Oreochromis niloticus: one gene and its partner. The protein of the gene in region 1 purifies or fractionates together with the protein of each later gene. This does not show direct contact. Links are inferred from orthologs where the notes say so. Each region holds a gene or a part of one and is shown on either strand. Other genes may lie near its edges.

Region 1 (16,753 bases):
GCTGCAGGTAAACACGATCACCTTGTGATCTCTCTGACATCACACTGATCTGGAACATGTTGATTTCTTTGTTTTATTTACTTCCTGCTTCCTGACCTCTCTGTGACCTTTGAAATTCCCAGGTGAGTCATGTGATCAGACTTTGCTACCCCGGTGGATGGAAGAGCGTCTGAAGTGCGACTGGGCGAAGCATAAGCTGGTCCTGATGAAGGAGGACCTGCTGAGTACATACAGGAGCTTCTTCTTCACAGGTGAGTCCTGATGTCTGTCAGGTGTTGTTATGGAGATGCCGCCCGTCCTCTGACTGTCGTCTCCCTCTCAGAGCTCACCGTGGACCAGCTGCATGCCTTCGCCAACTGTTCTGGCTTCCAGCTCATCTTCGGCCTGAATGCTCTGCTCAGGACAGCTGACAACAGCTGGAACAACAGCAACGCTGCCCTGCTGCTGCAGTACTGCCAGTCCAGACATTATGGGATGTCCTGGGAGCTCGGAAACGGTACAACTCCTTCTCTGATCAGCTGATAATCAATAATCACAGAGCCTCAATCAGTGTTTTCTTGAGTCTGTGACCTGCTTATTTAGGGCTGCAGATTTTATTCTGCCTTTTATTTTGAAATGCAGCTCAGAGTGATGTGTGTTTACTGCCACCTGATCACACCTGTAAATCAGAGCATCAATAATAGGCTGACGCTGTTAGTATAAAATCTTCTCAGGCTCCTTCTTCTTTCTTCTGCTTTCTGTGATAATATCTGGTGGAACGCTGAAACGCTGTGGTTTCTTATCCGATGTTTCAGTTTCACTTCCTCGCCTTCATGTGGCGCGACACTCAGACAGGAAGTCACCTTTCTTCTTCACATGATCTCTAATCAGAGTGATCTCTAATCAGAGTGATCTCTAATCAAAGTGATCTCTAATCAGAGCCGAACAGCTTCGAGAAGAAGGCCGGGATCCGGGTGGACGGGTATCAGCTCGGGCTGGACTTCATTCGTCTCAGGAAGATGATGTCAGAGTCCAAACTGTACCAGGACGCTGGGCTGTACGGGCCGGATGTTGGCCAGCCGAGAGACCACCACGTAGACTTACTGGACGGGTGAGAGGTCAAAGGTCACCGTACAGAGACAGCTCATGAAAAGTTTCTGCTGTCAACACAAAAGAAAAGTAAACATTTTGGGGAAAAAAAACATTTTACATTTTATTTCATTGAATTTTTTTTCCTTACATGAAATTTTGCGTTACGAATTTTCGAGAACAAGACACATAATAAATAAATGAACTTTTTTACTTTCTTTCTCTCTGTTTTCAGGGATTTTATTCACTCTGCTCCTCCTCTGTCATGAGCTGACAGATTCTTAAGTTTTCAGCTTTTTGAAAAACTCTGATCTGATGTTTTAACGTCTCTCAGATACCAACGATGCAGACAAACCTAAAACTTTTTATTAAAGGGAAGCAGCTGATTTTTGTGCTCTAACCGAGTTACAGAGTCACATGTGAGCTTCAGTCTGCAGGAATAAGACAGAAAACAACTTAATTACTGAGCTGACGCTGCCGATTTATCCATGAATTCTTGTGACTGTTGCAGATTCCTGCAGACCGGAGCTGAGGCCATCGACGCCTGTACCTGGCACCAGTGAGTTCACCCTCACTTTATTTACTCTGAACTGTAATTTCTGAGTTAAGTCTACTCTCACAAGATAATGCATGAAGCGATATTCATGCAGTCACAAGAGACGTGCAACCAAACAGCCTGAAAGCTTCTCCATCTATCAGAGGAAATTAAAAGTTTATGCACGCCTACTGACAGTGAGATACTTTTCCCATGCTTTTATTGTGAAAGTGCAAGTGTTCATACCAATCAGAGACTGTTCAGAACAAATTATTCAGCCGTTGTAACACAAATCCTGTTGCAAGGAAACAGAATGTCAAAGTTATTAAAACTTTCTAATATTTTTAGTCCAACTGACATTCAGTAGATATAAAGTGTCTGTACACTCCCAGGCAACAAGGCCCAAGACAACAAAACCAACATAAATCTGTCTCCAAATGTTTGTCTGAAGTCTCCTAATTTTGAATTTATTAAACCATAAATTCAGGAAATAGTTTTGGACTTATTAAGTTAAAAGTTGGTCATAAAGCATCAACACTTTCTTCAGAAAGTCCAAAATTCTGATTCATAATCAGACAAAAAGAAATTTAAGTGAAGATAAGATTATTATTTATCATCCACACTGACAGTTAGTTTGGGCTTAACAATGCTCACATCATCCACAAACAGCTGAGCACTGGTTGAGACCAGCAGTGGTCCTAAACTCGAGCTCTGAGGACCACCTGATTTAATTTTAAAGGAGCTCAAGTGACACCTCGGCCTGAAACACTGTTCTTTTACTCCTAAGCCTTCATGCTGGTTTATTGTTGTGAATGCTTCATTCATAACTCATAAAATAAACTTGTTCTGCTGTTTGTCAGTTATTACGTGAACGGCAGAGACACGTCTGTGAAAGACTTCCTGGATCCTGAAGTCCTGGACTCACTGGCCTTAAAGACCAATGAAGTTGTGAAGGTAATGCTGTGCTGTGTGCCAGCAGCTCTGTGCTGGGTGTGTTCGCAGTTTCACCGGGTTTGTTTCTTCTCATCTGGCTCAGAAAGTGAAGCTGGCGTCTCCGGGGAAGTCTGTGTGGCTCGGAGAGACAAGCTCGGCGTACGGAGGAGGAGCTGCAGGACTGTCGGACACGTTCGTCGCAGGATTCATGTGAGTCCCTCAGGTCTGCCCTGCTTTAGTCTTCTCTCTGAACATTATGAACGTCATGTTGTATTCAGTCAGACCTGAAACAGAAAGCCATCATGAAGGCATTCAGGCTCAGAAGCCATTTCCTCATAGTCTTCTAGACCTCTGGACCTCGTTGGTGTTTTTCAGACTGATTTTACGATTTTTAATCTGCTGAATGTGTTTTTCTGTGGAGGAACATTGCTGCTCTCATTATCTCTGAAAGACTCTCAAATATCTCTGAGTCGCTGCTGAGCTGTCTCCATGCTGGGAATCTGTGCAGGTGGCTGGATAAATTAGGCCTGGGAGCAGCACTTGGCCTGGATGTCGTGATGAGGCAGGTGCTCATTGGCTCTGGGAGTTACCACCTGGTGGACGACAACCTGGATCCTCTTCCTGTAAGACAGAGTCAGGTTGATTCTCTCAAATATACCAGCTACGCTTTCATGTTTTTTACATGTGCAAAATCATTTTAAGAGTTCCTCCTTCCTACACTCAGATTAGATGTTATTGCTTAATTTTGTCCACTTTGGGACATCAAATGAATTAAAAACATAAACGGACATGTTTAGAACAGGCTCAGTGAGTTCATTAGCTGATCATTTGTCAGAAAATGTATGTTAATCTGTTCAAATCAGGACCTTCACACTCATACTGAGCGTTAACGTGGCTAAAATAAGCTGCTGTTAGTTTATGTGCTCGATGCATTTCATGATCTTCACAGTTTGTCGTTGTCGAGTAAAGGCCGTGTCCTCTTTCAGGATTATTGGCTGTCCGTTCTCTACAAGAGGCTGGTTGGACCGGAGGTTTTAAAGATTCAAGTGTTTTCTGAGTTTGGCCGAAGTAAACGAGTGAGGATGTATCTGCACTGCGCCAACAGGAAGAGGTATGCTTCACATCCTGCCCTCATACAAACACCGAGACCTCCCACCACCAGTAACTCTGCCATCCAGACATCAGGTGGACAGGATTTTCCTCGGCCCGTCCAGTTGCTTATACAGCTGTATAAACAGCTGTTTATCAGCTGTTTATACAGCTGTCTCTGCAGTGGTCTGAAATAGCTAGAAATAGCTAGCTCGAGGTAATGATGTAGTAAAGTATTAGCAGTTAGAAGTAACAGATAAATGGTTAACATCTGCTACAGCTTCCTTCAAGCAATGTCCTGTACAACAAAATAGTTTCACGGAGCTGCTCAGAAAAAGGATTTTTGATTTCATATATTTCTTTATATTTTTACTGTGAACATCAACACCTCTGAAACTGGACTCATGACAAGAAAAGAAAAAGAAAAACTGATTTTAAAGTAAACTGCCCTCTTAAGGAATCAGCTCAGCTTTAAGGTTTATTATTCCTATAAACCAGCAAAAATGTCTGGAAACAGAAACAGAAAAAAGTTCTTAAATCTTAAAATAAGAAAAGATTGAAATTCTTAAAGTGTTAAAACTCCATCTCAAACCTGAATTATTTGTCTTTTACTTCAGCTCAGGAACAAACTTCTTCAAACTAAAAGTATTTATAGGGGGAAAAAAGCTTTTTATTTCTTACTGTGTGCACTGACACCAGGAATATTTTCCTAGAGATTTTCATGTTAACAAAACCTAATTTCTGCGCATGTTTTGCTTCGTGTGAGCAGAAACAAAGCTCATGCTTCGTTCTGTGTAGTTTGAGTTGAAGTGGAAGTCAAGCTGAGTAATAATGCTGCTGTTCTGCGTGTCTGCAGCTACAGACGAGGAGCGGTCACGCTGATGTCAATGAACCTTGGAAAGACGCCAGCGAGGATCTCGGTGCCCGCCGTCTTCTCCAACAGCACAGTGGAGGCTTTTGTCCTGGAGTCTGAGCAGCCGGGGGAGGAGGGACTCTACTCCAGGTGCCTGAACGTACTCAATGAAGCCATTTTCCTCCCAGTTAGAAATCTGCTTCGACCCCAAAGAGGACTGTTGCTTTTCACTAAATATCTCCGGCTCTGCAGAAGTGGAGTGAACCTTAGATAATAAGCCCCGCCCCCATTTTTAGTGAAATGAACACGGTGAAGAAGCAACAGGTCAGAATCTGTAAATGAACACCTGATTCTACCTGAACATCAGGATTGGCCCATTGCAGATGTTTTATGTGCTGATGATACACTGCTCTGTGTGTCAGACGGCTCAAACTCTGCAAGCCGAATAAGACACGTTCAGGTCATTATAGTCGACCTGTTCTGCCTCTCCTCACTTCCTGTCACTTCCTGTCCTGTCTCTGCTCTTCCTGTGGTGGAGGTTCACGATAAAGTTACGAATAATGAGCTCGGTGTGTGTAGTGATGCCCGCAGGCCGCTCCGAACACTCACATTATTACAGTATTTTCTACTCTTTGATCTGAATGATGTCATCTCAGGGACTGAAGCCCCGTCAACTACTGTGTGAGAGGGAGAGCCAAACAGAAGAAAACTGGCGTAAAGCCAGCCTTGTTTCAGACAAGGGCTGAGCTCTGAATCATGCAGAGCTGCTGTGCTGGAGTCAGAAAATAAAAGGATGGAGCTGATGTCTTTTCTCTTTTTAGATTTACATTTTCTGTTTTTGTTCTTATGAATCTGAGTCTCTGAAACATCTGGATCTCCTGAACTCAGTGATGGTGAAACGGTCGAAGCTTAAAAATGAAGAAGAATCCAGCAAACGTTTTGATGCTGAAGAAGCATCAGCTGATCATCCTGCCTCAGCATCCAGTGAAACCTGCAGTTTTTACCATCTGCAGGGACGCTGTCTGTGTTTCAGCTGCGATGGCTGGTAGGTGTAGAAACCTGAACACCAGCTCACATTTCTCTACAGAAGTGAGCCTCAACACTTCCTGAAAGCTACTTTTTAAATCTTTTAAAATTTCATTTTACTCATGAAAGCAAAAACGGGGGCGATAGTGAATCAGACGCTGGCTTCGGTCTTGTGACGCTCAGATTCAGGTGTTTATCGAGTCCTATAAGAGCTGCTGAGGTCGACCTTTTGATGCTGGCTTTTGATCTGTGGCTTTGCTTTGGTTCAGCGTGCCGGACAGAAAGCTGTTGTCATGGCGATTTAACGCCACCTGAGAGCGAATCAGCTGATGCAGACAGCAGCAGGTCGAGGACAGATGCTGTTGATGTGTAACTCTCTCTCAGGCTTTTATCTCAGCTGTGCTGACGGAGGACAAACAATGGCCTCATAGTTCGGGCTGAGCGGTGTGCTTCAAAAGAGTTCAAAGGTCACCGCCGTGAGTCAAAACCGGTCAGCATGAGTCGACAGTCTGACTCCAGTCCACCCCTCCACAGCACCTCAGCTGCTGGGGGTTTTCTGAGAACAGCTACATAAAAATCAAAAGCTTTACCTGATTTAACCGACCATTCCCAAACTAGCCCCATCCTAAATCCTCCTCTTATGGTGTTATGATCTGACTCATAAGCTGTGGTGGAAAATGATACATCCATAAACCCGAGGAAGGGTAACTAGGCCGATGACACCCCGCACTGCTGCAGCCAAACCAGAAGGGGGCGCACAGGAGCCTAACACCTGAAGTTCATAAACAGGATGAGTTATGCAGAAATGGGCAAAGATTAATATCTCAGTAATCTTTGTGTTTGACTCGCTGTGTGGCGGTTAGTTTGATGAGCTCATTTCCTGTTTCTGCAGGTCAGTGAAGCTGAACAGCGAGGTGTTGATGATGGTGGACGATAAAACGCTGCCTGAACTCAGAGGAAAACTTCTCCTGCCAGCTCACCACCTGCAGCTTCCTGCCTACTCGCTTGCCTTCTTCGTCCTCCCGGATGCCCAAGCTCCAGCGTGCAGTTGATGACATCACACGGAGAGCAGATCCTCCCTGGACACCAGCGTAGGCTGCTGTTTCCTCACACCGTGGACGCCTCAGTGTCTGATTTTTAGACAGTACTGTCACTTTCTGATAATGTGTTTATTGATTCTCACTCATGATCAAACATCTCCATCTGTCTCTCCACCCACTCGTCAGTCACAGAGGCCACGCCCCTAATAATGTGAGCTTTAAGGTCAATGGGGATGATGGATATGGAACAATATGGAATAAGATAATTAAATGTTTTTTATAACAATTTTCAGAAACCAAAAATATTTTTGATACGACCGTGTTTCAGGGTGTCACCTGTGAGGACGTCTCAATGATCTAATTAATTAAAAAGCACAATGCTGACGCCACCTCTTCGCCATCATCGTCGTCAGCAGGCTCGAGCACGTCCTCCTGATGCTGCAGCTTCACGTTATCATGACAGCAAATGTGTTAGAGTTTAAGCAGCGGAGACAGTGCTGTCACCATCAGGTCAGACTGGGAAGTGCAGTAGTGTCCTCCATCATCTTTATCCAGTCTGTTCATAAAAACTTCAGTAAAACTAAAAAAAGTTTTTTAAACTTTAACCAGATATATATATATATATATATATATTTTTATACCAGATATTTTACACTGAAAATATAAGTGTGTAATAGTTATATATATCTATAAATTTCAGTGTGAACTCTGCTAATTAAATCTTTATTTCATTAAATCTTTCTGTTCTCTGCTGATTTTAAACTGGACTCTGTAATAAAACTAGTGAACCGGTGCCGGACGCTCTCAGTGTGAGTGTGACGCCCTGCTCTGAGACCTTCAGCTTATTAAAGGACACCAGATTCAGAGTTTGATCTTTGAACTTTTATTTGATGCCAGATAAAGACAAACATCACATTTCCTTTTTCATTCGTCCTGCTCCTCGCTGTGAGTGATGATGTAACACAGGGATTTGTAGTCCAGGTTTCCGGTGGCGTTGATGTTTGATGACTGAAACATCTGCTTCATCTACAGACACACAGGTATCGATGTTACGCCTGTCACAAAACATTTCCAAAGTGAGCCCTTTTCATTTTTACACTTTCATTCGCTCAGTGTTTTCACTTCCTATCACGGGCTGAATAAGGAGACATTCGAGTGAGAACTCATTGGTCTTTGTGGATGAAGCCTTTGGCGTCGGGATCAAACATTTTGATGCTCGCGGCAGGTCGGTGCCTGCAGCGAACACAATGTCAGGAAATTTCCTCACAGTGAAGAGATGATCCTCCATCAGGGCTTTCACACCATTACAGGACACACAGGAAGCTCAGACGATGGAGGCCATGAAACTAAAAGCTCACTGTTATTTCATAATGAATCAGTAGAACCTTCTTTAAGAAAAAGTTCTTCAGAGCTTAATTAAAGCTGTTTGATTGCTGTGATCTAGAATATTATGAAGAACATGTGAAGAACAAAGCTGCAGGATTGTTAGAAAATGATTCTACTACAGCAGGAATCACGGTCAGAAGGAGGACCTGGTATCAAAGGAGACTTTAAGAGTTTAAACCAAATGATGAGAAAGCAGATCAAAACCTCTGCTGCACCAACGGTTTGTGGAAAAATCCTGCTGAACAGAAACCAGGTTCTGTTTAGACTGTGGCTCTACGAGTGGGAGTAAAACTGATCTGGGTTCAGTTTCTAGCAGAGCGGGAAAAGAGTTTAATGTGGAGATCTCAGTTATGAAGCCAAATCTGGAAACCAAAACTATATTATAGTAGATACACAGTAGTATAATTCTGTGCTGTATTGTAGATGGTATAGAGAAGTGTAACTTTATTATACTACTGTTTACCATCTACATCTACTGTTTACAGTGTATTAACTGTATTACACAGAGTAATCAGGTTTGCTCTGTTAGGTCTCTGAGCGTTTAGCTTCATTGATAACATTTCAAATTGTGAAATGATTTTATTTTCAGTTTCAGGCCAAAAAACTCATCAAACACTGTGATGAAACTGACGTGACTTCCAGCCCTGGACAGACTGAGAGCTATTCACAGCTCTGTGTAATAATTCAATAAGACATGTTTTATTTATCCCAGCGTCCCAGCGTGAAGCATCCAGAGCTCAGTTTTTAAAACCAGTGAACCGGTGCCGGACGCTCTCAATGTGAGTGTGAAGCTCAGGATCACCTGAGACGTCCTGCTCTGAGACCTTCCGCTCATTAAAGGACGTCACCTGCAGTGACCACACGGAGGCGCTGTGGTGTTTGGCTTCAGCTCTGTGCTGCGCAAAATCCATCCAGCACGTGACGTCAGAAAACCAGCTGGTCTCTTCATCATCATCGTGAGGAAAATAAGACCGTGCTGCAGAGCAGGTGCCGAACTTAATTTTAAAAATCCAACAATTTTAAATGTTTTTATCCAACAACAGGTGACAGTGAAGCACACGTGGCTCTTTGTGACGTATTTCAGATCAGCTGAGTGTGCTATCATATTTAGCGTGTAACGGGATGTAATGCCCAGCACTTTTAAGTATTACTGTGAGTGCGTTTAAAACAGACACTTCTTTGTTTCTCGCTTTATTTTATTGAAATGAGAATGAAAACTTTAAACTTTGAAAACGAAGTTTAGAATAAACACCAAGAAACATAGAAAACTTTCAGAAAACCATTCTTTAGAGTTCACCGTTTGTTAAAGACTAATATTACCTTTGTCACAATGAAACGGGGCTTTTTAAGGATGATATTTTTCTTCGTAAACAGTGTATTTTAAATGTAATTAAACATTTTTTCAAGACAGTGTCAGAGAAACTTACTCCTTATTTTATTTTACGCTTATTTTAATGATTTTTTTCCTTTTTTTCATTTGTTTATTTTTTAATTTTATCCCAAAGACATTGCATTTTAATTTATTTTGCCCCACAGACATTGTTTATTTAATATTATTTTTGACTCTAACTTTTTTATTTTCCGTAGTGTGTTTATTATTTAATTATATTTCTTATATTTTTCTGTAGGGTGTATTTTTTATTAATATATTTGTAATTTTTAATTCGTATTTTTATTAGAGATTATTATTATTATTTTCCGTACATTGTGTATTTTTTTATTTATTTATTTATTCACACCGTAGACCGCAGTGTTTTTACTTATTTTTATTTTTGCAGTTATTTTCCATTGACAGTGCGGTGCACGCGCTGAGCGGGCTCTGAAGGAGACGCATTCATACCGCTTTAATACTACATTACCCACAACCCCCCGCCCGCGCAGAGCCATGTTGTAGGAAATCCGCTTGCGGCGGATTATTGTAATCCGACAGAGGGTCTGGGCGACACATCGGATCACGACAGGAAAAAACTGAAGCGCAGCGGCCTGGAACAGATGCACCTCGTCCGAGAATAACGGGATAAAGCCGAGACATGATCCGCCGCGCTGCTCGGTGCTGCTGAAGCCAGAGATCGGCGCTGCTGCCCGGGCCGCTTCCTGCCTGGACCGCGGGTCGGCATCACCGCACCGCAGAGAGGAGTAGGGCAGAGCGGAGAGGCTCCGGTTTGTCGGTGAAACGGACGCCCTCGCTCCCTCTTCCCTACCCCGGTCAGGTCTGACTCCAGCTCGGCTCGGCTCGGTTGCTCTGTACGCGGAGGGACGCGCTGCCGCCGCCGCTCCCAGCCACACCACCAGCTAGCGCGGCTAGCTCGCTCCAGCTAGCCTGCTAGCTCGTCAGGAAGAATCGGTCCAGTTTAGTTCGGAATTTCTCCTGTTTTCCGGCCCGCAGCCCGCAGGGAGGGAGCATGTCGGCCAAAGACCAGAGCAAACTCTCCACCACGGAGCGGCCCGTCAAAGGTACGTGACTGTCCGGCTTTACAGGGGGTTCCCGGGGCAGGAAGTTAACGGGTGTCGGTGCTAATGGCTTCGCTAAATGTGAGCAGCTGGATGTCAGAGCCGCAGTTAGCGGTGACTTCTCCCCGAGCTGCCCGCTTTAACGCCTCTTCCATCAGGCAGGGGGAAACAGGCAGTCCGGCCAATCAATCAGCCCGCTAATCGATGCCGCGGCAGCTAATAACTTAGCCTTTTAGCTTAGCAGCCCGGAGCTCCAGATGTTGGGTGTGCGGTATGACAGCCCGCCGTCAAGCCGCGCTCGATGCTTAGGTTCACGCGGAAAGTCCACACGACGCCCCGGACACCTGGATCCTGTCCGCGGGTATACACCGCCCCGTGTACGGCAGGTAGCTGGCCTCGTGTGGGTGCAGGGGGTGAATAAACTGGCCTCGTCAACCCCCCGCCCCCAGTCTGCCCCGCTGTGTGTGTTTATGGAAAATTAGTTTGAAATTGAGGTTTGTGTGGAGTACTCAGCCACGTCCTGCTGCTGCGGTTTTTCCTCTGCGGTGTTCAGAGCTCTCAGAGAGGCAGCAGCTGGTGCTTCACCGCTCTGCAGAACAAACACCCCCGAGACCAGCCCGTCCGAGCCCGGAGGCAGTCTCCTGCTCAGCATCACAGGCTCTCCGAACCCCAGCACACACACCCCACATTTAATTTCACAAATTATTATTTAGTTATGCTATAATTGTGGAGATTTCACAGTGTATAACCACATTATTATCATTATTATTATTATTGATATTATTGTTATCATCATCATTATTATCAACCAGGAAAAAACATTAATAATATTAAAATGGTCGTTGATAGAGTCTGGCTTTACTTCTGCTTTTATTTTATTTTTGGAGTTTTTGATGCCACCTTAAAAAGGTGTTATTGCCCACTTTAGCCATCAATGAAATTATCCTGTTAGATTTAAACAGAACTTTCCATCTGCAGAAGGCCCATGAGTCTGAGAGACACCGCTCCTCACCAACATCTACTGTGTTATAAGACCTGCTTATTACACATTAGATGAATAAAATTATTAAGTTCAATGTCGTTATCATTTCTTCATGATGAAACAGGAAGTAATGAAGCTATTAGGAGTCGTGTCTCCAAACGGGCGGTGTTGGGTTGTGAACTCTGGTTCCTGTTGAATCACTGAAGCCTAAAATAACTTCCTGCTTCTCCGAGCATCAATGAATTTGAGAGTTTTTAGCGAGTTTTAGACTCGACTGTTAGGCCGGCTAATGTATGCTGATTGATCAGGAGCACTGCACAGATGGGCCATCGCTGGAGCCCATTTTGGTGGTTGCTGGAGAATAAAACAGCTTTCTCTCTGAGTCGCTGTGGTGTCGGGTGAAGCAGCAGGTGGGGTCATGTTTGATATGCTCACCGGGTTTGAGAAGCTTAGGAGGGCCACTGGTCATTACACAGACCTCCTTAACGCCGGTGCCGCCGCTCAGGAAGCCGGCACAGCCGGCTCTGATTGGATTTACCTGCTCAGAATCACCTTTGATTGTTTATCTGGGAACACCAACACAACAACTCTTCCAGGAATTCCTGGATGGATTTCCAGATCCACTCCAAGAGTTTATCAGTTAGTTTTTGACAAGCCCAGAACCTTATCCTTCTGATAAGCAGCCCTGAGCACTCAGCCTCACTGTTGGTTTTTCTCTGATGACGACCTGGTTGCTGTTTGGTTTGGGAATGGTCAGAGAGAACAGCTCCTACTTGGATTCTGGGAATTTTCTTTGGGATATTTCCACGTGTTGTTTGCAGCCCTGAATCAGCTCGATTGAATTATGTAATTACTTCAGGCTGAGCAGCGTGCTGCTGATGGCTGGAGTTCATCACAGCAGCCCACTCTGCAGCTTCCTGTTGAACCCTGTGTGTGTTTGTGTGCGCACGCACGTGCATGTGTGTTCTGGCCTTTTGGCTTAGTTACCGATGGTAATCGAATCAGTCGGGCCGTCTGCCTCGCTCGGCATGTGTAATGATTCTGTCCTCATTCATGATTGATGGAGCCGGGCCGGAGGATGCAGCAGGATTGCTCTGCTGTCCTGGCCCCTGTGATGGAGCTCCACCCTGGACCCCGTCCACTCCACCCACAAAGAATCGGGTCAGCACAGTCTCCAAAGCCTGTAATCTTGTGGTTATTCTATCCAACAAAAAAGGAAGGAAAATGCTGATCTGTTAAGGTGGTATGAGATTTTTTGGGGTGGGCCCAAGTACGGAGCGCCGTCCGGTGCCTGTCCCGCTCAGGGGTACACGCCGACCCTCACCCTGCACGTTCGGGTGTTGTGTAATCAAAAGGGTGCACATCTGCAGCACTTTAAGGGTCACATGATGTTAGACAGGTATTTACGGTGTGATTCGAGCTCAGTATGAGTCTTTACGTTAGTTTCTCCTTTCGCTGCTCTTAGCCTTGCTGTGGGTGCACCTCCTCACACGCAGAGTGGAGCAGAGGGAGGATGGGAAGGAGGCGGTAACCATCCAGGTGATGACAGAGCTGCTCCTCAGGTGTGACGCAGAAGCTAACAGGCGATAGTGTTTGACCTCGGTTTGTGGTAGATGCTTGAAGTCTGCAGAGGTGTTCAAGTATGAACTCGAGGCAAGACTGAAAGTAACACACACGGCAGGTTATTAACAGTAATGTGAAGCTGGCAGCCCGACCTGCTATAACTTGTGTGGATGAGTCAGTTTGGGTTATTCTGCTGTTGGGGGTTCATTCCTGAGCAGTTCCTTTTCTCTGTCGGTCACGTTAACGTTGCTCGTTATCGATGGCTGCGTCGGCTGCAGGAAGCTGTGAGTGCATATATATTCAAACAAGATGAAAATGAGCTCCTTATCTAACGAGTTCTCATTCTCGTCTGTGCAGATGTTTGCACGGCGGACTTAATGTGAGGCTCAGACTGAAGCCTTAGCTGTGATGGTTTGGCCTCAGACCAGTCCATAGACACCACTGACACACCCCACCCCACCCCACCCCACCCCACCCCCATAAAGAGGGGGGGGGGAGGGGGTCTTCCATGTTTGGCATGTGGGCTTCAGTCCTTGGGTTCTGTCGTTGCCCCTGCTTGTGTATAAGTAAAGTTTGTTTGCACTCGGGTCTGATTCTGTGTGTCCTGCTGGTGTTTGCTCGCTAGCGGCACAGACAGAAACAAGCGGCCGTCTGTGCTGGGCCGGCTTGCTGCTTTGCTTATGTTTGACTGGCGGGTAGCCGCGTGGCTTCAACAGCAAACAAAGCGCGGGCCGGCGGCGGCTGAGTTTACTAAACGTCTGAGCAGTTTCACTCTTCCTGTGTCCCTCCTGCTGATGGTTATTTGAATACCACTTCCTGCAGCGGTCGGCAACGCCTCCTTTTCACAATCGTGGTTTTGTTTTTCTCTCTCTCTCTTCACACACTCCACTCTCACTTCTGAGTTGTCAGGCAGATAAATTTGTCTGGTGGGGACTCGCAGCTGCTTTTACTTCGATGAACCAGTTCACAAGGAGCTGCGACGTGATTGGCTGAACACGTGCGGCCTGGTTTGGTTTCAGAGCTGCGTGCTGAACTAGAGCGCCGTGCCAGGAGTGAGTGTTCAGGAATATTCAGTGTCTGCGTGATTGCTCCCGTCTTCTTAGAACTTCCTCTCGATGCAGAGCTCGCATCACCATGTTTATGTCACCGCAGCAGTCAGGTGACCAAACAGCCTCTGACCTCACAGCAGGTGAAGCGGGCGGTCGGAGCCGGTGTGGCGGGGAAAGGTGATAAAAACACAAAATACGTGTTTGTGACGAATCACAGCGCACACTGACCCGCCTCTCTGACCGCACCGTCACTGAGTTCATGTAGACAGACAGGTGATTCCAGGTCATAAATGTATCACATGACCTGGACCGTGCAGGTGAGAGCAGACAGTCATGTCATGTGTCCTTCTCCTCCTGCTTTTATGTATTTTTCATCTTTAACTGTGATTCTGATTTCTGCTGCAGTGCAGCTGCTCGGGCTCAGCTGCTTAATAACAGCTGTTACAGCTGCGGTTTTACAGCGTTGGTCCAAACACCTTTAACCGCGTCATCACAGTGAAGGAAGGTTAGTAACCGTGAGTGTAGAAGCTCGGCCCTGCCTGCTGGACTCTGTGAGCAGCGACGGGTTTTCTTGAAATAAGCTGCTTGGTATTTCCTGCAGGGCTGGGCCGTGCCGCCACACTCTGCTGCTTTGTGTTCAGGACGAGCCTCGACACGCCGAGGACACCTTGCCGACACTGATCTGCCTGTGGGCCTGCGTGGTTGGCTCTGAGGTGTGACCTGATTACGGTTGGATTTGAAGTCAGTGGGCTTGCTCTCTGTGAACAAAGCCGCTGGTACCCGGGTGATCTCAGGTGTGCTGCAGAGGCACGTCGTGACCTCGCTGATGATAAGAGCATTCCTAACGAGGCGTTATCTGAGCATGGGAATGTTACAGCACAAAAACAGCCAGAAAACACCCGAACAGCAGACCAACCTTTATTAAAGATTACAGCAAGCGATCACCTTTCAGCAGGACAGGAATACGAAACAGTTCAATATCATTAAATATCATCATTAAAAAGTAACAATTCTGTCCCTGAACGCAGCATGGAGCCCATTTAAAGTAAAGGGTGAATGTTTTGTCTGTTCTGTATGAGGTCACAGTGTAACCGTGTCCCTTCTCTCTTTCATCTCTCTGCAGCTGTGCCGTATCCTCCTGGAGACCGCCTGACGGTCAAAGAGCTGTACGTGGACGGGAGGCCCAGTTTGGAGGTGCTCAAGGCCCATCTGGTAAAGGAAGGTCGGCTGGAGGAGGAGTCGGCCCTGCGAATCATCAACGAGGGTGCCGCCATCCTCCGGCAGGAGAAATGCATGCTTGAGGTGGAAGCCCCCATCACAGGTAAACCCTCGCCTTGACCCCGCCCACTCGGTATGTCAGCGACGTGCAGAGACATTTAAAGATGTCAGCTGAGAATTTATCGCCAGCATGTTTTCCTCTTTGTTAGTGATGAAAGAACACTGTCTGCTACCGCTAATGTTACAGCTCCATGCTTTGGACTGGAGCTTTGCATGAGTGACAGCTCATAATCATCCTCCTCTCAGCTCAGCCTGTGTCTGAAAGCAGGTGTGGTAATGCTGAGCTTGTTGTGTTTGTATGTGCAGTGTGCGGAGACGTCCACGGTCAGTTCTTCGACCTGATGAAGCTCTTCGAGGTGGGTGGGTCCCCCAGCACCACCCGTTACCTGTTCCTCGGGGACTACGTAGACCGAGGCTACTTCAGCATCGAGGTGCGTGTCTGTAACTTCCTCGGCACAGGAAAGAATTGTCGTTTGTGCTTCTTTGTTGCCTTTTTATACTTTTTGTGCTCTTGATTTGTGTCTCTTTTTCATTATTTTTTGTTTTTTTGGGTCACTTTGTATGTCTTCGGGTTGTTTTCTTCTTTTTTTGCTCTTGTTTTCTGTCTTTCTGTAGTTTTTGTGCTTGTCTTGAATCTTTTTTGGGTTGTTTTGTGGGTAACAGTTGGCAGTTGGGGGCTTTCTCTTGTTTATTTGTTGGCTCCTGCGTCCTTATACCCATCCAGGTTTGCTGTGCGTCGTCAGCCTTGCGTGTTGTAGGAGTGTGCACGGAGCTCGGAGTAGTCTTGTTTATTGTGTTGGAGTTGTCAGGATGTGTTGGTGCAGAAATCCTGGCGTGACATTTGGAGACTCGGCCCGCGCGGCTCTGCAGGGCATCTTTAAATAGTCATGGGTAATAAAAGGCACACTGTTTGCCCCCTCGCCGCCCTGACTGCCACACCCACTCATCCACACAAACACACCCTGCTAGACACACACACTTACACAAACACACACACTCAAACTCCAGCTGCGCCCCATCAGAGGGAGGACCGGGCGTCTTCTGGCATGGAGCTGCTGGCATTTGTATGGCTGCCGTCGTGCTTCCTTGTTTGGGATTAGTGGACATCCTGGAGCTGCTCCTCCTCCTCCTCCTCGGCTCTGTCTGGACCTCAGAGACGCCATGTGTCATCATCCTGTTTCAAAGTCACACTCAGTTTGCAACAGCAGATGCTTGGCTGAACTCTGTTAGTTTAGAGGTCATTTGTCTTCATAAAGACTCGTTTTCCAGACGACTCAACAGCCGCAGACCGAACGGCGTGCTGCGTGTCCCGACTCTGAGTCACGGCTGAATCAGCTGATTGCTCTGATGTCTTTTGTGTTTTTTGACCTTTTCAGACATTTAATTGGGCAGAAAAAGCCTCTCAGAAGTTTTAACTGTAGCTCAAATCTGAGTGTTTAGTCATACCACATGATCATGGCAGCACCACAGGCTTCAGTTCCTGTGACGTCCAGCACGGGC
Region 2 (16,637 bases), on another chromosome or scaffold:
CAGCTCAGAATAAAATCTATGTAGTCTGCATCCTTCTAACTCTCGTGATGCTAGGTTCTCATGTTGAAATGTGTTCACAGATTGAGGTTTCATCGTAAATCATGATATCAAAGAACATTTTGAAGGTTTCTGTGTCTGAAATTCAGAGTCTGAACATGGAAATCCACTGAAATTCATCTAAATCAGATTCCACTTGCATGGCATGGATGGGTCACAAATTCAGACCAGATCAAGACCAGATTCAGTTTGGCTCTGGTCATTTCCCAGGTCATCCTGTCTAGATCTGCCCAGTGTGACAGCAAGCCATCATCTAGACATGGATGCTGGGACCTGGAGGAGAAGGGAGATGAGCTGGCAGCTGACGGCTGACTGGGCAACACTGGCCTGAACAGGCAACTGTGTGAACAAACACTGTGAATACTGAAACAGTGTGTGTGCAATGTGCTGGGCCAAGAACAGGCTCGATCTCCCAAAACTATATTGAAATATTTAAACTCTGTAAAAGCAGAGACATTTCTTACAGCACATTTACTGATAAAACTGAAGACTTGGAAAGTTTTCAGTGAACTCTGAGCACTAGCAGTCACACGCCACCATCTATCAGTGAAGGCTGAATATTAGAAGAGCTTAGAAATGGGGAACATTTAAGCACTTTTTCCTCTACATTTATTACACATTTTTATCCAGTACAACTAGAAATAATCTTATTCTATATATAGAAATATGACTTTTTTTAATTATTCAAAGAGTTTTTATTTAATTCAGCATGCTGTATTAACGTGGAGTCACTCCTCTTCCTATGGTGAAATGTGGTGGAGCTCCACCGGTCATGGCTCTCTTTGCGTATCAGGGTTTTAATAGTTTTGCAATTTTCATTAGTTTTTATTTTTATTTAGTTTTGACTTCAGATTTTCAATTTTATATCAGTTTTAATTAGTTTTTACCAATTGTTTGCTAGTTTAGTTTAGTTTTTATTTTTTTGAAAATCCTTAGTTTCAGTTTAGTTTTGATTAGTTTCAGTTATAGTTTTAGTTGTGTTTGCAATAATTAAGTGTAACAAAATCCCAGTTTCATCATATCAGTCATGCTCTTCTGCTTATCCTTGGGTATGTTGCTATTCCAGCTACCATACCCTGCACCCTGGACAGGTCGCCTGACTGTCGCAGGACTAACACGCAGAGACAGACAACTCACGTTGCCACCTATGGGTTCTTTAAATAAATAAATAAAGGCAGACGAACAACCGTTGATACCAGGCAACTATAAAATGTATATCTTGGCCCCAATGAGACTATTAACTCTTGCAGCACCGGGTGTTAAGGCAATTGACTCACACAGTTATGTAGATATCCCAGTCCTGTTGTCTCGGGATGCATCACGCTGCCTTGCCTGGGGTTAGCTTCTGTTTCTGGGGATGAGGGTTGGGCGTGCTCCCTTACCTTCTCCAGGTAAGCTAGGTTAGCCTTCTTGTGTGAGCTTTTCAAGTGCACTTTAAGGTTTGTGGGATTTTTTTCCCTTTAGAAATGTCCCTCATAATTTGTCTCTTTCCACTACAAGACACTTGCTTTATCCAAAACACAGTCATATTCAAAGTAATCCCAAATTGGAAGCTGGTGCTTTCTCCAGACTTTTCCTGACATGATTCTGCGCGTGGACGGAGCAGCAACACAGACGACTCGACTAACGTACTGCCACCTGCTGGCAAGAAAAAAACCTGGAAACTAAACTTCATTTTCACCCTTGACTATTGTATGACACGCACATATCAACGAAAACTAAACGCATTTTCGCTATAAATCCAGTTAATTTTAGTTAGTTTTGTGAACACTCATTACAGTTTTAGTTAGTTTTCCTTTTTTTGTTTTTATTTTTATTTCCGTTAACGAAAATGTTTTTTCACTTCTAGTTTTCGTTATTTCGTTAGTTTTAGTTAACGATAATAACCTTGTTGCGTACTCACACAAAGTTGAGCACTCAGCTTATTGAACTAATTCAGCTGTTCTGGAACAGTCAGAGTTTGTTTAACATACTGATGAAGCTGCTACAGCCTCAAAGTTTCAGGCACCAGTGACACTACATGTGAGTAACAAGTTATAGACACCAGTGACATCTCCACACACTTTACTGAGCAGGTATCACCTGAGCTGCTGTCACAGCCTTCATGGTCTCTGTTACCCTCTCTGCTGCACTGCAAACATTGGTCTGGATTTGACCAAGATGGCGCCGGTGTGTGTGTGCCGTCTGTCACTGCCAGTGTTGTGTTTGTTTGTGCTCAGTTCTAGGCCCCCTCCTCTTCTCTTTATATCTGCTTCCTCTTGGTTCTGTACTGAGAAAGCACGGCATTGCTTTCCACTTTTATGCTGCTGACTGTCAGATCTATGTCCCTCTACAGAACAAAGGCTCATATTCCACACAGCCATTACTACTCGATAACATTAAGGCTTGGATGTTTCTTAACTTTTTAAAATTCAGTGATAAACAGACTGAGGTGATGGTGTTTGGTAGCCCCACTGAGACTCCCAGTGTGTATTTAGATACCTTGGCCCAGTATAATGAGCCAGCTGTCACAAACCTGGGGGTCAAAGTGGACTGTGATGTGAAGTCATCTACAGAGGATGCAAAATGCCGCAGCTCGTCTAAAGTTTGACCACATTTCCCCTATTTTAGCTTCACTTCACTGGCTGCCCATTTCTTTTAGGATTCATTTTAAAATTCTTTTATTTGCTTTTAAAGCTCTCCATGGTCTCGCCCCATCTTATCTCTCTGAGCTGCTACAGCCTTATACACCCACCCGCTCTCTCAGGTCAGCTGATCAGCTGCTCCTGATTGTGCTTATGCTGTAGCAGCTCCAATGTTGGTTTATTTTATTTTATTTTATTTTATTTTATTTAGTTAATTCTATGTTGTTTTATGTTGTTGGGTTTTTAAAAAAATATAAGGCTGTTTTAAGTATTATGTGTTTTATTTTATTAAATTGTTCTTAACTAATTTCCTGTACAGCACTTTGATCGTGTGCTGGCTATTTTAAAATGCTTTAAAAATAAAATTGGATTGGGGTACACAAATTGACTGTATTTTTTGAAGTACATGAAATTTCAATAAATTACACTGACAGTGAATTAGTATGTTTAATGCTAAAGTAAAATACCATGGAAAAGTCAGGATCCTTTTTGTACCACATAAAAAGATTGTAAAAACACATCTAAGCATAAATTCTACTTAATACGACAAATGCATTCATAACATATGAGGCAGTGAAATATTAACAATAAAGGACGTTTGGTCTCTGTGTAGATTTGTTTGTTAATTAACTGATATGTTGTGTAATTAAGGAAGTTTTCACAGCATAAATGGTAATAATGGTGTAACATGGAAAATTATTAAAAGCTATAATTATGCTAATTTCACTGATGGTTTAGTAGCTTATAAAATTGCTTACCAAAAACATAATAATAACAAATAATAAGATAAATGCATATTCTTTATGACTGAGGTATTTACTGTTGCAGATTCTGGAAGACTTACAAAGAGTGTGGAATTTTTCACATACTTGTTTTTTACACAAGTATTTAGAAGCATCGAATATTTTACAATAATTTAAAAAACAATCAAATAATATATTTTTATAACATAGGTCTCATATTTGTCAAAATGATTTTCTAAGTCAGGACAGCTTGAAGTTTTTTTGTCATATTTTATGGAGCCAGGACTCTGATCTTGATGTTAAAGAAGTCATCTTCAGGTTTGTATCACGTTCAAACACTGACTCAGAGTTCACTGTGCACAGACGGAGGCCTGATGGTGAGCTGGATGGGCCTCTAAAGAAAACAAAAAGTCTTTGATATATGAAGCTAACATTTCATAACGTTTTATCATTGTCTTTATTAGTTTTATCTGTGTTTCTTGTTCCCCACATTCCTAATTCTTTTGTGTATTCTTAATTTTCAGATTTTCTCTTGTACTAAAGTCCTCCCTGTTCTCAGAAGAACTTTATTTTCTCTGCTTATTTTCTGCTCTGTGCACTTTCACTTTGCTGTATCATGAACTCCTCCATAGAGCCTAATTCATTATTCATTATGACAAACATGCTCTTTGTAAATCCCCACTATGATAATAGTAATAACTATCCGTCTGGCATTCATCACAGTCTGTTACCACCAAAGGAAGCATGGAAGAGTTATAGACATGCAGTGTCGTGTGTGCATAAAGTGATTACCTTGACATACAGGGAGATTTCATAGGGCTGGTTCTCCAGTGTTTTACTGTCCACAGGGACCACAGGACTGTCCACTCTCCTGTCGGAGGTCAACTTGATCTCTTCCATCGTCTCTGCAGTCATCGCCTCTCGCTGAGGGACATATGAGCAACCATGTTCCAGCAGCACCACTCTCTTTTTCTTCACCTGCTCGTCTTTCTTTTTGGGCAGGGATTCATCTTTGATAACTGACTTCAGCTCTTTTATCCAATCCTCCTTCCTCGGTGAACTGATCTTTTCTGCTGACGTTTCTTTATCCACCCATTCTTTCCTTCCCCGCTCGTTCTCCCAAAACTCTTTTTTGATGTGCCTCAGCTCTTTACTCCAGTCCTTCCTTTCAGTAGCAGTCTTCTCTTCTTCTGGTTGATCTATTTTAATCCAGTCTCTATCTTTTCTCCTGGGTGACAGCACTTTTGCTTTCCCCAGTTCATCTTTCCTAAGACCTTGTGGCTCAGGACACAAGAACCCGTTCTCCATTGTTTGCTTCAGTGTTTTAATGCTCCCATTTAGATGTGCCTCTGCCTCACTGTTGTGCACTTTTAGCTTGACGTCCTGTGTCTCCATGTCCTCTTTACCCAGTATGGCCTTGTCTCCTGGCAGCACTTGATGCTCTTCATCTTTTATCTTGTCTATGGCATCATCAGAACCGCTCATAATGGTGAAAGGATGTACTTCTTCCGTTTTTTTACTGGGCGTCTCCTCCATCATTTCAGTCTCATCATCTAGAACGGTGACTGGCTCTTCTGCCATCTCCACTTCTCCTTCCATTGACTCTTCTACTGCTCTTCCTCCAGTCTCAAATTCTACAAGCATCTCTGTCTGTGGGAGTTCTTTTGTGTTGTTTCTCCAAATTGTGTCTGCTTCTTTCAAGAGCTGCAAAGGATGCTCTTGTAAAGCACTTCCCCCTTCTGTTGTGGATTCATTTTTCTCTGATTTGTCCTCTCCTTCAGACCCGTCAAGCTTCACCTTGATGCCTTTCTCAGATAGAGAAGCTTCCTCCACCTGGTCCTGTGTGTCTGTATGTACCTCTTCTCCAGTCTGGCCCACTGGTTCTGGAGGAACTGTTATAGCTTCGATTTCAAGCTTAGCAGCTTTTTCTTCTTGCATTTCTAGATCATTTCTTGTTCTGTGCTCTTCTTGGCCCATTAACTCTCCAGCAACATTACTGGCTATCGTCTCCTCCATTTCTGAACTCTTTCCTCCCCCGTCCATCTCTGCCAAGTTGTTACCTTGCTCTTCTGCTTGCTCCTTCTGGGTGACGTCTTCAGTCCTTTTTGCTTTAGTGTCTCCATCTGACTGTGGCTGTTCTTCAGAAGTTAGGGCCATCAGCTCTGGTTCTTGTGCCGTTTGATTGGTTCCTGCTCTCACGGGGAACTCATAGCCAGGATATACACCCTCCAGGACTCCCTGGCATTGCCATGTAAGATTATCAATAACAACCTCCTGTTTTATGGATTCTGAGGGATCTTCTCCATCATTGTTTTTTATTTCATTTTGACTCTCAACATCTAATTGGTAGGTTTGATTGGCCACCTCTTCAGCTGTAGCAATTCTATCGACTGGTATGTCATCAGTGCCAAGAGCTGAAGCTTGGATGCTGGCCTGTTCATTTATCCCAGTAGAAAAAGGAGCCACTTCTATGTTCAGATTAACCTCTGTTATGTTGCCAGCAGTGGGCAAAGTAGCAGTTTCTGTTTCGTCTTGGTCACCAGTACATGACTTTGTACCCACTCCTGACTCCCACACAGAAGTACCTCTGTCCTGAAGACAGGACACATGATCGTCGGTGCCTTCGTCCATGTCTTCCTGCCTTACATCTGTTCCTGCACTTGCTGTTACTCCCCCTTGTTTGTTTTCTTCAGTTTCCCCATCCTTTTCATCATCTCCATTGCTGTTTAATATTTGCTGTTTCCCTCGTTCAACCACAACCAATAGAGGAGAAAGAGATAGATTTTCAGCCATCTTTGTATCTTCAGATTCTTTGTCTGTTGTCAGTGTGGCTGTTATTTCTTGATGTCCATCTCCCGCTCCCATTTCTCCATTCCCCTCTTCTTCCAGTACTTCACATTCATCCTCCCCCTCTCCTATTTCTCCATCTGATAACAGGGTCACTTGTGTAATCTCTCCTTTCTGCCAATCATTCTCTTCTTTACTTTCATCTTCAATTTGTTCTGCTTCAGCAACCATCAAAACATCTTCCCCAACCTCCTCTGCTAGTTCCACCTCATCATCATCATCTTCTTCTTCTTCTGTGTCGTCTTTGATTCTGTGTGTATCCAGGTCTGAACACAAACCTTGTGGGCTGTGGACAATGGCTCCATTTGGCAGGTCTGGATTTTGGCTATAACTTAATTGAGCCATTAGGAAAATAACACAACTTATTTAGAAAGAAATGATGGTGTCCAAGTTTCCAGGATAAATGTGCAGCTTTATAACATGTAAAATTTGTGAAAATGATCCGGCGTTCTAGAAAAGTTCAAAGATGGGGATGAAGAGTAAAACTTACAGTCCCAGTTTTAAGCTTGTATCCCGAGGTTCCAAATTTCCAAAGTAAAGTAAGGAGAAAAATCCAGATTTCCCCTGAAAGATGGTTATAGGGCTCTCTCATCAGTACTGTGCCTTAGGCACCGTTCCACATCAATAAGTACGTTTCGCCTCCTCGCTTTCTTCTCTCTCTCTTTCTCTCTCACTCTAAGGGATTAAACCAAGGCTGATCCCACATGATCACAAGCTTAAACTCTGCCACCCAGAGACCAGTACCATTTGATCTGGAGTTTCTTAACACATTCAACGACACATCACAGCTACATCTATGAAACATAGCCTCTAGTAGATAGACAAAGCCATATATACAACATCTAATAAACTTCTGTTTTATTTGTACAGTGCAGGTTCACCAGAACTATTTTACTGAAGCACTCTCAGCCCAGTTTACTACATGAATGTGTTTAAATGCTGTGTTCATTTTGTCATACTATCAGTGATTTTTCTTCTTAGTATCTTTAATAGATGATATTAAGATATCAAGGAAACTTGAATAAGTCCAGACACTTTTCTTTCCAAGCTCCTTAGACTACGACGACCTGGACGACTGAGAAGCTTCACAGACATGTGAAACAGAAAAATGTTTTTGTTTTAATTCAGCTGAAACAAATATAAGAAAAAGTGTGTTCTTTTTGAGTAAGAAGGTTAGAGAACTAAGAGGCCTAAAGATATACAGACCCTTTCCAAAAAATTTGAATATCACAGAAAAGTTTATTTATTTCCATAATTCCATTCAAAACGTTAAACTATCATACATTATAGATTCAGGGCCCACAACTTAAACGATTTCAAGTATTTAGTTGTTTATTTAAGTACATAATTTGGGTTTCCAGCTTATAAAACCTACAAAAACAGGATTTCAAAAAATTAGAATACTGTCAAGACATCAGCTCAAATTTTACAGGGCATGAATGTTTTAAACTGAGTGTCACACACAACTCATCTACTAAACTCAAAGCACCTGCACAGGTTTTCCCAGGTGTCATTAAATTGCTTCAGTTTGGTTCAATTGTCTCTGTTAAGTTCAATATGGGCAAGACTGCAGACTTGACAACTGGCCTGAAGAGCATCATTGGTACCCTCCATAGGATGGGTAAGCCACAAAAGTTCATAGCTAGGGAGGCTGGCTGTTCACAGAGTGATGTGTCCAAGCATATCAATGGAAAGTCTAGTGGAAGGGCAAAATGTGGCAGGAGAAGATGCACCAGCAGAAGAGATGACTGTGGCCTTCAGCGGATTACCAGACAGAAGATTCAAAAATCTGGCAGATATCCAGAAAGAGTGGGATGAGGCAGGAGTCACAGCTTCAAAACCACTTCTGAGCCTGAGCCAACGTCGGAAGCAACTCCATTGGGCCAAGGAGAAGATGGACTGGACTGTTGACCAGTGGTCAAAGGTCCTCTTTTCCGATGAAAGTAAAGTGTGCTTTTCATTCGGGAATCAAGGTCCAAGTGTTTGGAGGAAGATGGGTGAGGAACAGAACCCAAGCTGCTTGAGGTCCAGTGTGAAATATCCACAGTCAGTCATGATTTGGGGTGCAATGTCCAGTGCAGGTGTTGGTAAACTCTGCTTTCTTAAATCCAAGGTCACCGCAACAGTCTACCAGAATGTTTTGGAGGGCTTCATGATTCCTTCTGCTGAGGATCTGTATGGAGATGCAGATTTCATCTTTCAGCAGGACCTGGCCCCTGCCCATACCGCCAGAAGCACCAAAACCTGGTTTGATGGCCATGCCATCACAGGGCTTGACTGGCCAGCCAACTTGGCGAACCTAAACCCCATTGAGAATCTATAGGGTATCAAGAGGAAAATGAGGTCCACCAGACCCAAAAACAATGAAGAGCTGACAGCAAGTATCAAGGAAATCTGGGCTTCCATAACTCCCAGGCAGTGCCACAGGCTGATTGCCTCAATGCCACAGCGCATCGAAGCAGTGACTAACGCGAAGGGATTCCCAACCAAGTATTGAAGATTGACATATCATTTTGAAAGTACCACATTTTGATTGACTTGATGTGATCCTAATTTCTTTCTTCTTCTTTTTTCCTGCAAAAACTGAGAACTAAATGGTGATGTCTTGACAGTATTCTAGTTTTTTGAAATCCTATTTTTGAGGGTTTTATGAGCTGGAAGCCCAAATTATGTACAAATAAAAAACTAAGTACATGAAATCGTTTAAGTTGTGGGCCCTGAATCTATAATCTAAGAAAGTTTAACGTTTTGAATGGAATTATGGAAATAAATAAACTTTTCCATGATATTCTAATTTTTTGGAAAGGGTCTGTATACGAAGTTAGCCAAGAAAGAGTATAAAGCTTTGGATTTTTGGCAGTTCATTTTGATTGTAGATGAACTTGAAGAGATGGTGTAACAAAAAGCAAGTCACTCATTAAGATATAAGCAGACAGTCAAGAACCAGCTGAGTTTTGTTTGTGAAACTCTTTCAGTCATCAGTTAAAGGTAAAAACATCATGCAGTAAGACAATGAGAAGGGTAAACAAAGACATCTGTTAATAAAGGAAACAAGTGATGGAGGGAAGTCTGAAGGGTAGCAGGAATTAATAAAGAAATAGCAAAAGGTTTGGCATGATGATATAAAAGTTCGACTTTTACATGTAATACAAAGGCGAGCAGGCGAGAAACAGGGTCCATGAACAGAGTGATAACAGGAAAAAACAGATGAGATGACTATAGGGAACCAACATGTGACTGAGTGTGGAGGTAAGTCATCGGACCGCTAAATAACGTGAGAGGGCAGTAACGCACCGGGAAAGGATGTAGACTGCCGCGAAGGCCCGGCGAAAAAGAAAACCCGGAAATGCTTCCGCTGTTCCGTGTAGCTGCAGGTAGCTGGAAGTACAGCTGATATCAGACAGTAGTTCGGGTTTGAGAGCACAGTGAGGAGCCAGCGGCTGCCTGAAGGCACACACAGAAAGGACATCGCTGCTAACACCGGTGGGTAAACAGCGCAGCGACGCCTTTGTCATAATAATATGTTTTAACCACGAAAAATAGCTTCATGTCCTGGGTTAGGCACGCGGCATATCAAAGCACTGATAGGTGTAGAGTCAGGCAGCAATCAGCATGTGTCGGTACTGACGGAAGGCTGTCGATGTTTCCAGATATTTGGGTGATGCAGCAGGCGGATAATGGCGGCGAGGAGGAGGCGGCCCCGGTAGATGTTCAGTTCACGGATTTACCGGACGCCCTGGTGGCCTGCAAAGTGGCGGAGGATTTATTCAACGAGGAAAGGCTTAAGGTAAGCTGTCAGGCACTGGCCTGTGTGCGGCTAAACAGTGTTTACATCATATATGAACGTGAAACATGAACCAATAGCTTTGGTGCTTTTGTGTAGTGTAGTTCATTAGAGACAGTTCTTTGTTTTTAAAGCAAAATATGGAATTATCTGATAGTATGACAGAAAGAAACACACACGGTTACCTAGGAGATAAACTTGAATCTATGGAGCACAGTAGCCTTAAAGGAGAAAGATGTGTGTGCAGGAGAGCCACAGGTTTATGTGGTTTCATCACTCCATCTGGTGGCAGATGGATTACTATCATCGATACATGAAAATCAGTTAATTAGCTCCATTAAAGACTAGTGACGGCTATAGTCACGCCCCTAAACTGATTGTGCTGGAAAACGTCTCTGGGACCTTGGAGTCCTCGGGTTTGTAGTCTGTTTGCTAGCTTTAGTCAGAAAAGAAGGTCCAGTTGGGTTCAGACCCAAAATGCTCCTGGATTAAACCGAAAAGTCAGAGTGTTCATTGATGTCACACAGGGGAACATGGCTAAAATGAAAGACGTCATGGATGGTCTCCTACATTTCCTGCAGCTTCTTGGGGGAAGGAGGTGAGCAGGTTAAGAGGTGGTTCTGTCACCAAGGCAAATCCCAAATCAGTGAGCATTTCCATGGACTCCCCATCCTGTAAATCAGAAATGTTACTGCATTAATATTTGATGGCCATAATGAAAATAAAACCAGCAGAATCATTCTGAGGGAGGCAGGGGGTATTCAGTCCCAGTGGACATGTGCTGTATGGAAAAACAGATTTGTGCTGGTGAAGCCAGGACTGTGTGATACTAATAATTTGTGCAGTTACTTCACTTTCACCTTTGGGAGCAGTTTCTCCTGTGGATGCTGGGTGCAGCAATGTGCAGCAGTTGGTGAGAGACTCAGTTGAGTAACAAGACAAACATCAAAAACTTCTCTTTGGATGTTTGATGCTCATCTAACAGCCACCAAGGTCAACTTGTTTTTGTTGTTTCCTGTAGTCCACTATCGCCTCCTTTGTTTCACTGATGTTGCGAGAGAGGTTGTTGTCCTAGCACCAGTTGTTCGGTCCCTTCACATCCACTCTGTAGACTGTGTCATTGTCGCCCGTGGTGGTCATATCATCTGTGCTACATCTGTACTGTACTGTGTTTGTGATGAGCGAGGAGTTAGTGTGTTTTCCAACTCTGACTATCATGTTGAATGCTGAGCTGTAGTCAGCTAAGGGCATTCACACATATATGTTCCCTTTTTCCAGGTGGGCAGGGCAGTGTGTGTGGCCAAAGCAATGGCAACATCTGTGGCTCGGTTTCTTCTGTAGGCAAATTGGACCAGCGTGTAAGGGAGGTAGACTGGATGTGTAGTCTAACCATCTGCTGACGTTGTGATGACTGATGTTAGTGCAACAGGGCAGTAGTCATTTAGACAGACCACTTGTTTCTTGGCGATGGGAATAATGGTGGACGCCTTGAAGGGAGATGTTGAAGATATTGGCGAACACATTTGCCAGCTGGTCACACGTGCTCTGAGAGCATGACCAGGAATGCTTTCTGTAGGGCTGCTCGATTATGGCAAAAATGATAATCACGATTATTTTCACTGAAATTGAGATCTCGATTATTTGACGATATTTATTTAACAATAACAATGTATTGAATAATGGCTTTAAAGATTGTCAAAAAATAATGTAAAATAGTGTGCAAATACTGATTACAGTGCAAATGTTTGCAATATAAAAAATAAATGAAAAATGTAAACATCTATGTTTAGTGAACTTCAAAATACTGCACAATATTTGATCCACGTCTGACTCCGCGAACCCATAATGTTTCCACCAATGTTCCCTCAAATATTTCATGTGTCTGAGCGAACACACAAACTCCCTGAGCGTCCCTTGGACCACTGTGAGCGACATCAGACGTGTGCACTGTGGTCACGCCAGCATCTAATCCATCCAAGTTACATGGTTTATTAAAATAATCAAATTACAGCATTTACATTTATGTTAGACTACTTTTAAACTGCTTTAGCCCACTTACAATGAAAATGTAAAAAATCCTGTTCATGACCCGTGTAGGATGTTAACACTATTGGAAGTAAAAATAACTTGAACTCCAATTTTGAAAACACAACTTTCTTTCTTTTCTTTTTTTTTCCATAAAGCTCTGACTTGTATTATGAGTCTGTGGTCTGGGAGAGAGTCTGTAACTCTGTCTGCAAAATACAGCATATAATGACCAATGTTGGGCAATTAATTATATAGTTACTACTTCAAAAAAGTAACTCAGTTTGGCAAACAACAAAGTTTTTTGCAGCTATTTTTTTTTTTTAATGCAGCCAAGACGTTTTTAAATAAACATTTCAAACTATTTACAGAACAATCAGCTGTTCTGCATCAAATCTGATGCCACACAAATTATTTGTGCCACTCCAAAAAATAATTTCTGTCCACTATGAGATAAAGGAGAACAACAGCCTGATACCTGCAGGCCTGACAACAGGAGATGTATCACTGCTGTAACACCTGTAACACTCAGCAGCCGCCTCATTGTTCTGACACACACAACAAAACTATTGACTACACTACACACTAACTACACACTAACTACACACTAACTACACAAGATTTATGCTAAACGTCTCAAATCTCTCACATCTCAGAACACCGCCCTCACTCCTAAAACTTCCCCCCGTTTCTTAACAACTAGATGCCACGTTGCCATATCATTTTTTGATTGGTCGACACGGTACTTTTTTCGACCAATAGGAAAGGGTGGGGGTGTTTTGGTGTTGTTTTTGCTCACAGGCTTTCGAGCGTTTTCCTTATAAAACGCAGTTTTTACCGTTTCTTCCCGCAGTAAATATAAACAACGACAGTATTCAGGAAGAAAACCAAACATTGCAGATATTTTTATCATAACTCTGGTTTTACGTGGCCGATCAACACAATTTTTTTTTCTTTTTTCTCTTCTTTTTTTTTCTTTTTTTTTTCTCTCTTTTCTCAGGATTACTTACTAATGCATATAGTTTGAGCAGATCAACACAATTTAAAAACTGGTATAAAGTCCACACTTTGTCCGTCAGTTGTTCCGTCTGTCCTGCTCACATCTCCAATGGTTGGACACGTTGTCATTAACGTGGCTTCACTGCACATCAGCCACGCCGCTTTGCTAGCTAAAACACCGGTGTCGGCACATAAGGACGCTGTCATAGCCTGTCAGCGACGTTGATTGGCTGCGTATATACGAATGTGAATCGCATTATTGGCTGGACTATAGGATAAGGTGGCATCGTTCTAATCCCATACAGGAGCAGCCAGTCACTGACTAACACTGCAAAACAGAATTGTTAAAGTTTTAATTTTAATTTCAATTCAGGTTAGATTTTTTTTTGTGCGCAACGCAGATTTTCTGTGCGCAGAGACCGTGCCAGCAGTGCGCAACTGCACAGATGCGCAGCTTAGAGGGAACATTGGTTCCCACACCACTGAAGTCGTTTTACCTCTTTTCAACCAACGGCATTCTTTCTTCAGCAGCCATTATCCTCTCCTCTCCAAATAACTTCTGCTTAGCTTTCCGAGCTTCCCTCGGGTCCTCTTTATTGTTGTGACGCGTGTTCGAAACGCAGAGAGGTGCGCTCGATTTGCCACACGGAGCAGCGCGAGAGTAAAGCACGAGGGAGGTGCTAATAATCGGCTCAGTCATTTTTAATGATCATTGAAAACCCAGATCGTAATCGAGATTAAAATTCGATTAATTGAGCAGCCCTAGCTTTCTGGTCCTGGAGCTTTATATAGGTTGACCTTTTTGAAGGCCATTGTGGCAGCCTCACTCCCCACTAGAGGACATGAAACTGTGTTGGAGTGAGCATAGAGGGTGTTTAGCTTGTCTGGGAGAGATGTGACAGACTGAACACTGACTAATAAAAGAAAAACCAGGTCAGTGATACAGCATAGTCATAATTGCTTGGGGTCAGAAGAGCGGTAAGTGGACTCCTGTGGACTTTGTCCTGGTAGTCCCACTTGGCCTTGGTTATGACCTCAACACTGATCACTACAAAGTGGGAAAATACTTCCAACAGGCACCTAATCTGAGCTTATTCAGTTAGGTTTTAGGAGTTTTAAGCGTTCTAGCCATTTTTAATGAAATGGCTTCTTATATAGGACTTTATATATGCTTTATATAGCACTGAAATTTGATATAGCGCTGATTAAACTTATTCTATTCAGACATTCTTATAGATGCTAATCTGAAAGTGCTGCTGAGTAGGGCTGCACGATTAATCGTTAGAAAATCGCGATCTCGATTCATACTTATGTGCGATCTCGTTTCCAAATCACAACGATTTTAAAAAAAAAAAGAAAAAAAAAAAAAGACGACGACGACGATTGTACCGCATTTTGATCCGGGACGTAATCTGCATGAAAACAAGCGCTCACTCTTCCTGCTCAACAAATGACAAGGGCGGAGCCTTATACCACGTGATACAGAAGCTGTGCCGTGTGATGCTCAAATTGGCAGGAAAAACAACGGAGAACACGAGAAAGTGACAGGAGAAAATCCGTCCTGGTCAACCACCCAAACATCAATAACGGGAACCTTCGTGCCTTGGAGAAGAAGTTTTCCTACGCCTCCTTCGATCTTTTTACTAGCGGAGTTGACCTGTACAGTAAGCTAGTTGCCAGCTACGAGCCAGTCACGAAACCTTCAAGTAACTGCCAGAGGTTTCCTTACTACGGTTCGGAGCCGCGGATCTGGTGCGGTAACACTATACCCGTCGAACTCCCGCAGGCACAAAGAAATTACGGAGGCTATCACTTATCACCTGACCAAAGATATGGCTCCCATCAACACTGTGCAAAACGAGGGATTTAGGAAAATGATCAACACCCTAGACAAACGCTACACAGTGCCGTCCCGCAACTATTTTTCTATTGTTGCACTACCTGCTCTATACACGCAGTGTCGAGCAACGGTGGAGACGGAATTTCAAGCAGCACAACATTTTGCGGCAACGACAAAATGTGAGACATTTATTGTTTTTATGTTCAGTCTCAACTGTTACAAAGTTGATGTGCAGTTAATAAGTGGAATAAATATTTATATTGGAAAAGAAAATCGTGAGAGAATCGTGATCTCAATTCTAAGCAAAAAAATCGTGATTCTCATTTTATGCAAAATCGTGCCGCCCTACTGCTGAGCCTGTACTTTGGTCAGCTCGTCTGCTTTATTTTACTGGACCTGCCCTCTTTCCATCATGCTGTTGTTAATGTAATGTAAAGAAGTCATTCACTCTTTCAAAGCTCAATATTCTCTACATTTCATGCTTTGCCTCTCCAAAACGTGAAATAGACATGCATGCAGAAGTTGCATTACTGCATGCAATAATTACATTACCAGCAAGGGGGAGATAATATATTTAAAGCCAGGAAGTCAGTAGTGAGCAAGTATGAAGTGCATTCCACGGTCCATATTCCTTAGAAAAGCTTAAGCTAGGCAGCTAATATGTATGTACATGCAAATGTTTTAATAATGTCTGTTTAAACACATGCCAGCATTAAATGGATTTGAAAATGTTTCTAGGGCAAACACTACCTAGGCTGCTTTTGTAGTTTTGCTTTTACTGTGGTGTATACTGTGTCAGGCTGAACAGGGAGGGGAGCGACACCCTAATCCCATTGTGGAGTTCACCAGGAACAAGAGAAATGTGACAAAATACATGGAAGATCAAAAAATACTGCAAAAGCAGCCCTAAAGGTTCTCAAGGTAAAGTCATGGTAAGATGCACTGGTTCTTAAACAGCGCTTTACACAACTTGCCTCAGTCACGGGTTTCTATGCTCTTTGTCTGTAAGTGCTTCTTATCTAACATTCATGTGCGTTCACACTGCATCACATAGCTACTCAGGGTTAGTATCTTGCCCGAGGATATTTGGCATGCAGACTTCAGCACACGGTGATCGAACCATCAACCTTCCGATTAGTAGGTGATCTGCGCTACCACCCCACCTAAAGAATTAGGGTATTCTTCAAAGACAAGAAGCTCAACCCAATGGAGCACACGTTTCACCTATTAGATACAAAAATGAATGCAGAAACACCCAAAACATAAATAGTCTAGCCAGTTTCTCGTTTGGCTCTCAGTGAAGGCGGTCACACTTTTCCTCCTCCTCTCCTCTCCCTTAGCTTCCCTGCTTAGCCTCTTGTGTCCTTGTCTAGTCTGGTGTTTTTTGTATTACTTTTCCCTGGAACACTCTCTCACAGTCTGTTCTCTAAAACCTAAAAGAGAATTATGGATTTGATCAACTGGTCCCTGATTGCTATTGACACCCTTTCTCAACGAGAAGTCTGGGCTCGGGTGAGCCTGAGTGCTGAAGATATCTACCTATTCGGAACCATGATAACAGGGTTCTTGCTGATCGGAGCTGGCTTGGCCCTGACTTATCGAAGAATTAAGGAAGTAGAACTGGCTGTTCAAACCCCCACAAGGCTGCCCGCTGGGATTGAAACGATGGGACGAGGCGTAAGTTTCTCAAAATGGGCTCATTGAGTGCAGCACTGATA

Evidence for each region.
Region 2: the proteins of ppp3ccb (region 1) and rcan1b purify together in Homo sapiens (affinity purification with mass spectrometry; 3 studies listed by BioGRID and IntAct, counting the BioPlex papers as one, with this or other methods). This does not show direct contact. The link is inferred for Oreochromis niloticus from reciprocal best matches to the Homo sapiens genes PPP3CC and RCAN1.

The regions. Positions count from the first base shown.
Region 1 is NC_031972.2:37,313,826-37,330,578, forward strand, and holds the start of ppp3ccb (protein phosphatase 3, catalytic subunit, gamma isozyme, b), read left to right. Parts: upstream 1-9,798; 5' UTR 9,799-10,332; coding exon 10,333-10,384; intron 10,385-15,098; coding exon 15,099-15,296; intron 15,297-15,559; coding exon 15,560-15,684; intron 15,685-16,753. UniProt on the Homo sapiens protein: Calcium-dependent, calmodulin-stimulated protein phosphatase which plays an essential role in the transduction of intracellular Ca(2+)-mediated signals. Dephosphorylates and activates transcription factor NFATC1.
Region 2 is NC_031986.2:3,816,503-3,833,139, forward strand, and holds the start of rcan1b (calcipressin-1), read left to right. Parts: upstream 1-9,592; 5' UTR 9,593-9,754; intron 9,755-9,921; 5' UTR 9,922-9,932; coding exon 9,933-10,058; intron 10,059-16,637. Other genes in the region: chloride intracellular channel protein 6, read right to left, coding at 4,217-6,616. UniProt on the Homo sapiens protein: Inhibits calcineurin-dependent transcriptional responses by binding to the catalytic domain of calcineurin A. Could play a role during central nervous system development.